Rattus norvegicus: one gene and its partner. The protein of the gene in region 1 interacts with the protein of each later gene in a biochemical or structural test. Links are inferred from orthologs where the notes say so. Each region holds a gene or a part of one and is shown in the gene's direction. Other genes may lie near its edges.

Region 1 (5,150 bases):
GAACATTCCCCAGGGGAAGAGCTCTCTATTAAGGTTCCTTCCCAGGAAGTCTGTCTGGGCTTCATTAAGCAGGGCAATACGTGGGGGGACTTTTAAGGATCTAATTCTAGACTTGGTCTTGGGAAAGGACCTCAGTTCCTGGTGATGTGTGCCCCCTTCTCATTTCCTTCCCTTCTTTTTATTTTAATGAATAATTTTATTCATTTACATTTTAATGTATTTTTATTTTTATTTAATTTTAATTTTATTTTCTTTCTTTTTTCTTTCTCTCTTTCAGACTGGGTTTCTCTGTGTGGTCCCAGTGGACCTAGAACTCACTCTGTAGACCATGTTGGCCTCAATCTCAGAGATTCACCTGCCTCTGCCTTGCTGGGATCAAAGGTGTATACCACCACTACCACCTGTTGCTGTATTTTAAAAATTATAAACAGGGTCTCACTCAGTTGCCCAGGCTGGCCTTGAACTTGTGATTCTCCTGTTTCAGGCTGAGTATCTGAGATTACAGATCTTTCTCAGTAAGTCTAGCTTGTCCTTCAATATTTAACTTAAAGTCTAGAGTTCAATTCTAAGCATATATATGACAGCTCAAAACCATCTTTAATTCTAGTTTCTGGGATCTGATGCCCCTCTTCTGGCCCTCGAGGACTGACTTTATGTGGAGCATAGACATCCGTCAAGGCAAAACACCAATCCACATAAACATTAGAATAATTTAAAAAAGTATAACCTGGAACTTGCTATGAACTCTAGCTAGCCTAGAATTACTTCATGATCCCCCTGCTTCAGTCTCCTAGTGCTGTGATTACATATGGCATCTTGCTTGGTCCAGTAAGTACTCAAGAGCGAACAGTGACATTATCTCCTGCTGTTATGCACGTAGCACACTGGAGTAGGAGGGAAATGAGCTTGGAAGCCAGAAAGACCTAGGTTAGAAGAGAGGTCTGCTTTTAGTGCTTGTGTGTCTCAGTTTCCTCATCAATAAAATCGCAACAATGTGGGCTGGAGAGATGGCTCAGCGTTTAAGAGCACTGACTGCTCTTTCAGATGTCCTGAGTTCAATTCCCAGCACTCACGTGGTGGCTCACAAGCATCTGTAATGAGATCTGCTGCCCTAAAGAGTAAAAAAGATAGTAACAATGTATCGGTTATGCAGGATTTATACAAGGCACAACTGATAGCATAGATCAGCCAGTCCATGTGCCATGCAAACATGGAATAAGTGCCATACATATATGTATGTATGCATGTATGCATGTAACACATGTCTTTATTTATTTTCATTATTTTTGTGTGCACGGGTATAGGTGTTTGCAATGTGAACAGAGGTTCCCAAGCTAGTGGTCTCAGATCCCCACGGAGCTGGAGTTACAAGTGACTGCGAGCTGTGAATTTTACTCTGGTCCTCTATAAGAGCAGTACATGCTCTTAACCTTTGAGCCTTCTATCTCTATCTCTTTATGTCTTTTTATTTTGTATCTTTTAAAGGCAGGGTCTCATGTAGCCTAGACTGGCCTCAAACTTGCAGATCCTCCAGCTTCTATTCCAAGTGATGGGACCAAGTTCTCAAAGGAGTGGCGTTTCTCCTCCCGGTGGGTAGGGTAGACCTACATCTTTAGAGGCCGCACCCTCAAGCTGAGTCACGCCAACAGACCTCCGCTGGTACCCTCTCCCTATGGCACACATCTTCCCTATGGGAAACCATCTTCTTCCTTAGCTCATTTAACTCTGTCTGCAGAGTCCCTGGAGCCTACCGTCCCGCCACAGGCAGCTCTGCCCCAGGACCCTTGATTCTTTTTTTTTTTGTCCTTCTGCTTCCACGAGCTACACACAGTCCAATCCTCGACGGCACACAGAACCGGATTCTTATGTTGCCCCATTCACAGAACCCGGCCCCCTTTATGTTCCCGAACAGCACCCCACCCTCATCCTCCTCTAACTGTGGCCTTGCGGGAGCGCGGTTCTGACCAACTCCTAAGCGATCCCCGCAGCACATCCTTAGATTACCGGGGAGCGTCTCTTCAGTTTCTCCCGGGGCCCCGCCCCCGTTAGCACCGCCCCCGACAGCCTGTCCTGCGAAGCTCCGCCCCCGAGGCCCGGGGAAGGGTGGCGGCTGGCTCTGCTGCCCCGCCGCCCTCTGCCCTGGGCGCTGGGTCGGAGCGGGCCGGGTACGGCGGGACCGGGCGAGCGCAGCGTACTGGGACTTCGAGGCGAAGATGGCGTCAGGCAGGCGCGCTCCGCGCACCGGGTTGCTAGAACTGCGCTCCGGGGCGGGCTCCGGGGCGGGTGGTGAGCGGTGGCAGCGGGTGTTGCTCACTCTGGCGGAGGACGCGCTGACCGTGAGCCCCGCCGACGGCGAGCCCGGCCCGGAGCCCGAGCCCGCGCAGCTCAACGGCGCCGCTGAGCCCGGCGCGGCGTCCCCACAGCTGCCAGAGGCGCTGCTGCTCCAGCGGCGCCGCGTGACGGTGCGCAAGGCCGACGCCGGCGGGCTCGGCATCAGCATCAAGGGTAGGTGCGGGGCACCGAGGGCACGGGGTCGTGTTGTCTGTGTCGCTGCGGAGCTCTCAGGGATCACGGGGGCTGGCAGGGCACTGAGACTAGGTAACCGAAAACCTGTCTAGGGCGGAGCAGAGTCTCCCGGGGAGGAAGGAACAGAGTGAGGGAAGAGCACCAAGGTCGGAAGGGGTTTGGGGAGTTCGGGTGTCTTACAGGAGACTCAGAAGTGTGGAAGGATGGGGGCGCACCAAGGACATAGGTGCTTAGTTCGGTTTTGAAGCAAAACCGTAGCTATGGGTACCAAGGGCAGGAGGGTCCTCGGGAAGACAGACGGGGAGCGGGGGCGGCGGCGAAAGGAAAGGGAATTGAGACCTGGGACACTGCTAGGACAAGGGGGAAGTCATGAGACACAACCTAGGTGAATGGGTAGAGGCCTGGAGTCTGGGAGCTCAATGTGGGTGCCAGGGATGGATAGGAGGCACAGGCATGGTAACAGAGAAGGGGCCAGTAAGGACCAAGACATCTTGGGCTCCCGAGGCTGTATGCCTAGGCTGGGAGTTCTAATGGAAAGAATGAACCCAGAGTTGCCTTTCCTTCCTGAGAATTCTTAGTTTTCAAGAATGACAATTGTTTGACATGGTCTTGTGTATCCCATGCTGGCCTCATAGACACTACGTAGCAAAGGAGACCACCGAATGTCTAATCTTCCTATCTCCACCTCCAGAGGGTTTGGGATTACTGGGATGGGCTGCTAAATAGGTTTATGTTGTGCTGGGGATCAAGCCTAGAGCTTTCTATACACTAGGCAAGCACTTTACCGAGTGACGACTTCTCCAGCTCATTCAGGCAACCATCGGAGTTCTAGAACTCTGTGAACATCCACAAGTCACTTCCCATCTGAGTCTGGTTTGGTAACTATAGGATGAGGAAGGGCTTGCCAGCATGTGTGGGAAAAAGAGGCCAGGAGGGACTCCCAAAGCAACTAAATGTGGTGCTTAAAATCTATGTTCGTACCTAGCTGCTGGGCTTACCATTCCTGACCCTCTACCAGATTGAAAGTGACCATGCATTCTCAGGCCCCCTGGAGGGAGCTGTGTTTATTGGTACCTCGCTTAGATCTTTTGGCCTAGGTTAGGGAATGAGCATGGTGGTGAATGCCACTGTGTGTTAGGTGTTGTGGCCATTACACTTCAGGTCTATTTCATCTTGACCATCAATGGTGAAAGGTGAGTTTAGTCATCAGTGATGAGTTTAATCTCCAGTTTTGCAGGCGAAGAAACTGAGACTCTGAAGGGAAAAATAATTTCCCCAGGATCAGTTAGCGAATGGTAGAACCAGGATTTAAATCTTAATTATAGAGCATTATTGCCCTAAAGACTGTCTGGGGAATCCGTCCATGGAGTACCCTTCCCAGGCAGCCAATCCCAATTGTCAAGACAGGGAGCAAGCTTTCATCCCAAACTCTATGATAGGCCCAGGAAACAGACCAATTTAAAAAAAAAAAATACATTCAAGTGTGTCAGAGCAGGAAGGATAACTGAAGTTCTATAAAGTTCCACTTTGCGGACAGACAAACCAACCCTCAGAGGAGCAGGGTCTTGCCAAGGTACAGGGACACAACTCAAATCTGTACTTCCAGGTGTTGGAAGGACATGTTTATGGGACTTCGGGGAAAGTAACAGTTTCATCCAATTCTTCCTGGATTGAAGACTGTGCTCCTGTTGCTATGGTAACTTCCCTTCTGGGGTCCAGCTGAGTTCGTGAGGCAGCTGGGAATGGTCAGAGCTTCAAATGCAACTGAAGTCCCCACTTTTAGGTGGGGGAGGCTAGATATAAATAGAAACACCTTCCTCTCCTAGGCCTCAAGCCTTGTGCAGTGCCACGAGCAACTGTCGGGCCTGGGTGGGGGTTGGAAGAGGTGTTCCAGGCTCAAATGTCACCGACTTATATAACCTTGAGACAGTGACCTCTTGCTCAGTGCCAGTAATCTCTCATCACTGTACTTTGAGGATGGGCCAGAAATATGACATTCAAGGGTCTGACTTGAGTCTTTTGGAGACTGTGTCTGGCTGTGTAGTTGGTACTGTCCTGAAACGACGTATGTGTAAAGGGTTGGTCTTGAATGTGCAGTAATCCTTTATTTTTTTGCTACCCCAGCACTGGGATTAAAAGCAAGTACGACTATGCCCAGCCCAGCTGACTATTTTAAGATATTTGGTCTGGGTGTGGTGGCAAATGTCTTTAGTCTTAGCACCCCAGAGGCAGAGGCAGGTGGATCTCTCTGAGTTTATAGCCTGTTGAACATAGTAAGTCTCGGGCCCCTCAGGGCTGCATAGTGAGATCCTGTCTCAAACAAACAAACAAACAAACAAACAAACAAGCAAAAGGCATCTGAGGGTGGGTGAAATGGCTCAGAAGCAGTGCTTCTCAACCTTCCTAACACAGCAACTGTGTTTTTTTTTTTTTTTTTTTTTTTTTTTTTCCGGAGCTGGGGACCAAACCCAGGGCCTTGCGCTTCCTAGGCAAGCGCTCTACCACTGAGCTAAATCCCCAACCCCCACAGCAACTGTTTTATACAGTTCCTCATGCTGTGGTGGTCCCCAACTATAAAACTGTTTTCATTGTGACTTCATAACTCCACTTTTGCTACTGCTATG
Region 2 (4,997 bases), on another chromosome or scaffold:
TCCAATCCTGTATCTAATTTTAACATAAACAAAGACATATAGGCTTAATTGATGCAATGGTGAATTTAACCATGAATCTGTAATACTATATAAATAATATTAAGAATGATGGTAATATTAATAATAAATTTAAAACACAGGCTTGAATTTAATCTGGTAAAATGTGAAATCACACAGTGGGATCTTTTACCATAGGCTGTGAAACAGTATGTACATATGTATCGACTACATATATAGCATACATATGAATATGTATTTAAATAAGTTAATAGTACTGCAAACAATCATTTCATATCTGTAATGTCTATTTAAGATCTGATTTTTCCAAAGTATAAAAGGAAAGCTCAGTACATTTTTACAGTTTGTTCTAAACAATTAAGAAGATTTAGAATTAAAAGCAAATTGGAGTAGGGAAGCAATAATAACTCTGAGGTTTTCTTTTGTTTTGAAATATGCTCTGTCCATTTAAACTTATCTAACTTACCCAGACTAGCCCTTTGCAAATGAGCATAAAAACACTGTGGCTTTTGTGTCCTTCAAGTTAAAGCCCAAGCCCTTCTGAGATCAGGAGGAGAGGAAGGTGCACAATCGCTTTCACCAGGAAACTAAGCTTGGAACTCCTCCCCTGGGATACTGCAATTTCCTCTTCCTTTTTACCCTCGTCTATTAAAAATTTCAGAACAATCTTTTCTGGAACTAACCAAGGGCTTTGGGGCCACCCCTGCGACTGGTGGCAATGGTTCAAATTGTAAAACGAAGCTGGTGTGCTGAAACTAACACTCAAGAGACCCATAGTGTGGCAAATCTGTTCTTGGTGTATGAATCGCCACTGCCCTTGGTTTTCCCAAATGCATATCTGGAACAAGTTCAGTGGTCTAGGTTCATAGGAACCTCCTGCATGCTCCTTAGGGTCAGGTCAAAGAGAGGAGTCTGTACAGGAATAGATCAGATGCTGTCACCATCTGACAAACATGGTGCAGGGGGTGAGCGGAGCTGTCCAGCACTGGAACTTAGAAAGCTGGAGCTGGGAGATGCTCCTCCAAAAGAGCTCCCACAAATGAAGCAACAAGGAACAGACGCTAGCCTCACTGTCCTCGTGGCCTCACTAGAGGTGGGGAATCATCCTCACAATCTGTCCCGTAGTTTTTTCCTTTGCCTGTGTGTCCGCTGGAGCAGTTGATGTGACCAATCTGAACTTCTAAAATAAACTAGACATTGGACTTTGGACATGGCGTGTGTGTGTGTGTGTGTGTGTGTGTGTGTGTTGAGTGTGTGTATGAGTCTGTTTGTGTCCGTGAGCACGCCTGTGTGTAGGGACCCCAATACTCTAGGTCGGGCTGTCAGTTTTCTTCAGAGAGAGATCACTCCCTCAATTCTATGGCCCTCACCCTAGCGTCAGACATTGGGCGTGCTCACTGCCCTTCTGTTTTTCAGGGGCCAAGGGACATTTGGGCTTAGGAACCTTTAGCCCTATGACAACTACTGTACGCTCCCCCTGGTATCAGGGCACAATGGCTGGGAACCGAAAGAACAGCAGCAAAGTGTCCTAGTTGCTCCCGAAATCTGGCGACAGAAAAGGAAAAGACTTCCAATGAGTATGCTTGGGACACGTGATGCCCGCGGAGGCAGCGCTGGAGGGCGGGGGTATAAAGGGAGGAGGAGGGAGTCGCGCAGCTCCTGGAGGGGGCGGAGGACACGAGCCACGGGCGATCGAGATGCAAGGCGGAGGATCCTTGCTGCATGCACCCTTATCTCCGCAGTCCTTCAGTGGGAGCTTTGTGCACTGGCCGGTGCTGAGGCTGAGCTTGGAGAACAGCAGCTGCAGAGTCAGCGGTGGCGGTACTTGAATCCTCAGCTCATCTCCGGCGCCACTGCGGAGCCTGGGCCGTAAGGAGCCTCGGCAACCCAAGTTCCCGCCATGAGCAGCTGGCTCGGTGGGCTCAGCTGCCCCAGGGACACGCATCTGGGAGAGCGCGAGCGCAACGCCAAGCAGCCCCGAAGCGACTGAAGCTGCCTGCTACAGCATATCCAGCCACGGTCACCACCACCACTGCGTCCCTGCCTCCACCACCACTACCGCCACCATTACCACTACCACCACTGCTGCCGCCGCCGTCTCTGCTGCAGTAGTGTCTCCAAGCAGCATGTCTCGCAGGAAGATTTCATCCGAGTCCTTCAGCTCTCTGGGCTCCGATTACCTGGAGACCAGCCCGGAAGAGGAAGGGGAATGCCCCTTGTCTAAGCTCTGCTGGAATGGCAGCCGGAGCCCGCCAGGGCCACCTGGCTCCAGAGCAGCCGCTATGGCTGCCACCCCAGTCCCCGCTGCCTCTGTCGCTGCGGCAGCTGCTGCAGTCGCCGCCGGGTCCAAGAGAGCCCAACGCCGCCGGAGGGTCAACCTGGACTCACTGGGCGAGAGTATCAGTCTCCTGACGGCGCCCTCGGTGAGCCGGGAAAGGGATGGGGAAAGTTGGATCGAAGCTATCTGGGGAGCTTGGGGAGCTCCCGTCCGCTGGGGGGCGACTCGGCCTCACCCTCTTTGGCCTTGAGTTCCTAGTGGTCCCTAGAGGTCTGGGCTTAGGCAGAAGGGGAACATTGGGAAATAATGAGACCCATTCTTTCCAAGGTCTGCCTGTCCACTTCCAGGCTTAAATCAAACTACACTGTTGTCTTCTTTGATAGCCTCAGGGATCCTTCAGGCCACCTGTTTTTCTATTTTCCTTCTTTCTCTTCTGCTTTCTTCTACTTTAACTCTCTTTTCTTTCCTCTCTTCCGGTCTTCTTTCTTCTCCCTCCTTTCCTCCCTCCTTTCTTTCTTCTATCTTTTCTTCCTCCCAACCCTCCCTTCTTTCTGCTCAAAACTTTCCCAGGGTGTGTTCTGGTTCTGCAACTCCCATTTCCCTTTCCAACATTCCAAAGAGGCCCCAGCTCCCTCCTCTGGAAGCTCTTACTCTTCCTATTTCCCACACTCTCTTGGTCTGATTCGTGACCTTTTAGGGCATCTCTGAATTCCACAGGCTCACAGCAGTCTCTTTTGAATGCTTTTCTCACATTTAAGAAAGCTCTCTTAGATATTTTTCTGAGTTGTTTTTTCTCATACAAAACTGTAATGCTATGTTTACACACACACACACACACACACACACACACACACACACACACACAGAGCACCTTCGTGATGTTTTCTTATTTGTTATAAATTTATTGGCTCAGTTTTCCTTTTAGGGCAAACCTGGTGTCTTTGTAAAAATAAAAGTCACTTGTACCCTTACCTCATCCTGGACTTTCTTATCCTTAGATTCTCCACTGTTTCAGTTTTTTTAAAATGTTTTTATTTCTTCTTTTATGCCTCCGTTATATTAGAATCCACTACTATGTTTATTGAATGAATGCATGCCTTCATGTACTTCCTTCAAACATATGTTGATCTTAGGATATGTAGTATTAGCAGTTTCCCCTGTACACCCTGGTTCTAGTCATTCTTACATACCACTTTTATTCATTCCTCCTCAGACATTTCTCCCACTCCTGCCTGTATGATTTTTCAGGAATGTCAGGCCTCTGTTTTTTACCATTTACTAAGCAGACTTTGGGTTTGTAGAAATCCACTCAATTACAGAGTGTAAAGGAGATTCAATGTCAAATTTGCACCCACTTTTGAACCTCATCCAGGTTTTGAAAGCAAAAACTTTAACTTTCTTTAAGAACTACATTTTCCCCTTCTGCTCTCATTTCTTTGACTTTAACTTTCTCTGAACTTCCCTCAATGTATTTGGACAATGTTCTCTTATTTAGTGTATCCTAGGTTTCCCTTGGAAAGCATACTTGTACTCAGTGTAGAAAAGTCCTGGGGAAAAGCAAGATGTTAAGGATCTATGTTCTGGTCCAGGCAATGCCACAGACATCACTGTGGTATCTGTGTTATTGGAGAAGTGTTTCTTTCAACACTGAAACATATTTTCAGTCTCTTTTCTTTCTGTTGTGTTTTACTCTTTAACACACCATCCTACAGATAATCTAGAAAGATAATTCAGATCAGGTTGGCTGATTTGTTTTCAATCTTCCCTATAAATTTGTCCCACAGAAGATAATCCTGAGACATATATAATGCTACAAATTGTCAAACATAACTGAGTATGAGAGGAATTCAGTAGCTGTGCATATGTAGGTTTGTATCAACCCACAACATAACATTTTTGCAACATATCAATACTTCAGTCAACAGGTTCATATAGCTAACTAAACATAATGATCCATTGGTAAAGAATCCTTGTAACCCAGATTTTTTTCTTTGTGCTTGAGAAGTAAAATATAGAGGTTTCTAAAGTGTCTTTGATAATGATTTTGCATAGAATATTCTCAAATACTCACTTGAGGCTTAGGGAAAATAAAGTGATAACTGATGTATCTACTGTGAGAATGAGAGACAAGAAATAATTTCTGGTGGTTTCTTTTGTAATTTGGAGTTTAGTGACTGATGTGAAAAACATGTGCCCAGATAATGCTTTTCAGAACAAGAAATTTGAAAGAAATTGTGATATTAAAAAGTTCAGAAGGTCTGTGTTCTTTATAAGAACATATAATTTGCATTGGGAAACTTTGTAGAAAGTTACATTACTTTCTTAAGTTGTAAACATCAAGTCATTATTGTATTTAACTAATAACTGAGGCTCCACTGTGTAGCAGATATTGGATTGGGGAAACAGATGCTGAATTATCTACATATAGCTTTTATGGACTTCTTTAGTCCTTAATTTGAGGAATGTGAATTGAAAGGAGCATAGGAACTTTGATTGCACTGTGACATCCAAGGAACATTTTGTGTGTATTTTTTTTTGCACTGTGTGTCTTTGCAGTACAGTCATAATAACAAACATTATTGTACAGGCCCAGTTGGAGACATGACAATAACTTACTATGTCCTTTATTTGAAAGTAATTGGATACTTGGACACAAATGGAGTTATTGGTACGAGACTTTGTATCAAGGATGAATTTAGCA

The links. The genes of interacting proteins can lie anywhere in the genome.
Region 2: the proteins of Snta1 (region 1) and Gucy1a2 interact in a test that uses a peptide from one of them, tested with the Homo sapiens proteins (3 studies listed by BioGRID and IntAct, with this or other methods). The link is inferred for Rattus norvegicus from reciprocal best matches to the Homo sapiens genes SNTA1 and GUCY1A2.

Annotation. Positions count from the first base shown.
Region 1 is NC_086021.1:163,363,881-163,369,030, reverse strand, and holds the start of Snta1 (alpha-1-syntrophin), read left to right. Parts: upstream 1-2,103; 5' UTR 2,104-2,213; coding exon 2,214-2,505; intron 2,506-5,150. UniProt on the Homo sapiens protein: Adapter protein that binds to and probably organizes the subcellular localization of a variety of membrane proteins. May link various receptors to the actin cytoskeleton and the extracellular matrix via the dystrophin glycoprotein complex.
Region 2 is NC_086026.1:8,783,488-8,788,484, forward strand, and holds the start of Gucy1a2 (guanylate cyclase soluble subunit alpha-2), read left to right. Parts: upstream 1-1,724; 5' UTR 1,725-2,144; coding exon 2,145-2,441; intron 2,442-4,997. UniProt on the Homo sapiens protein: Has guanylyl cyclase on binding to the beta-1 subunit. Isoform 2 acts as a negative regulator of guanylyl cyclase activity as it forms non-functional heterodimers with the beta subunits.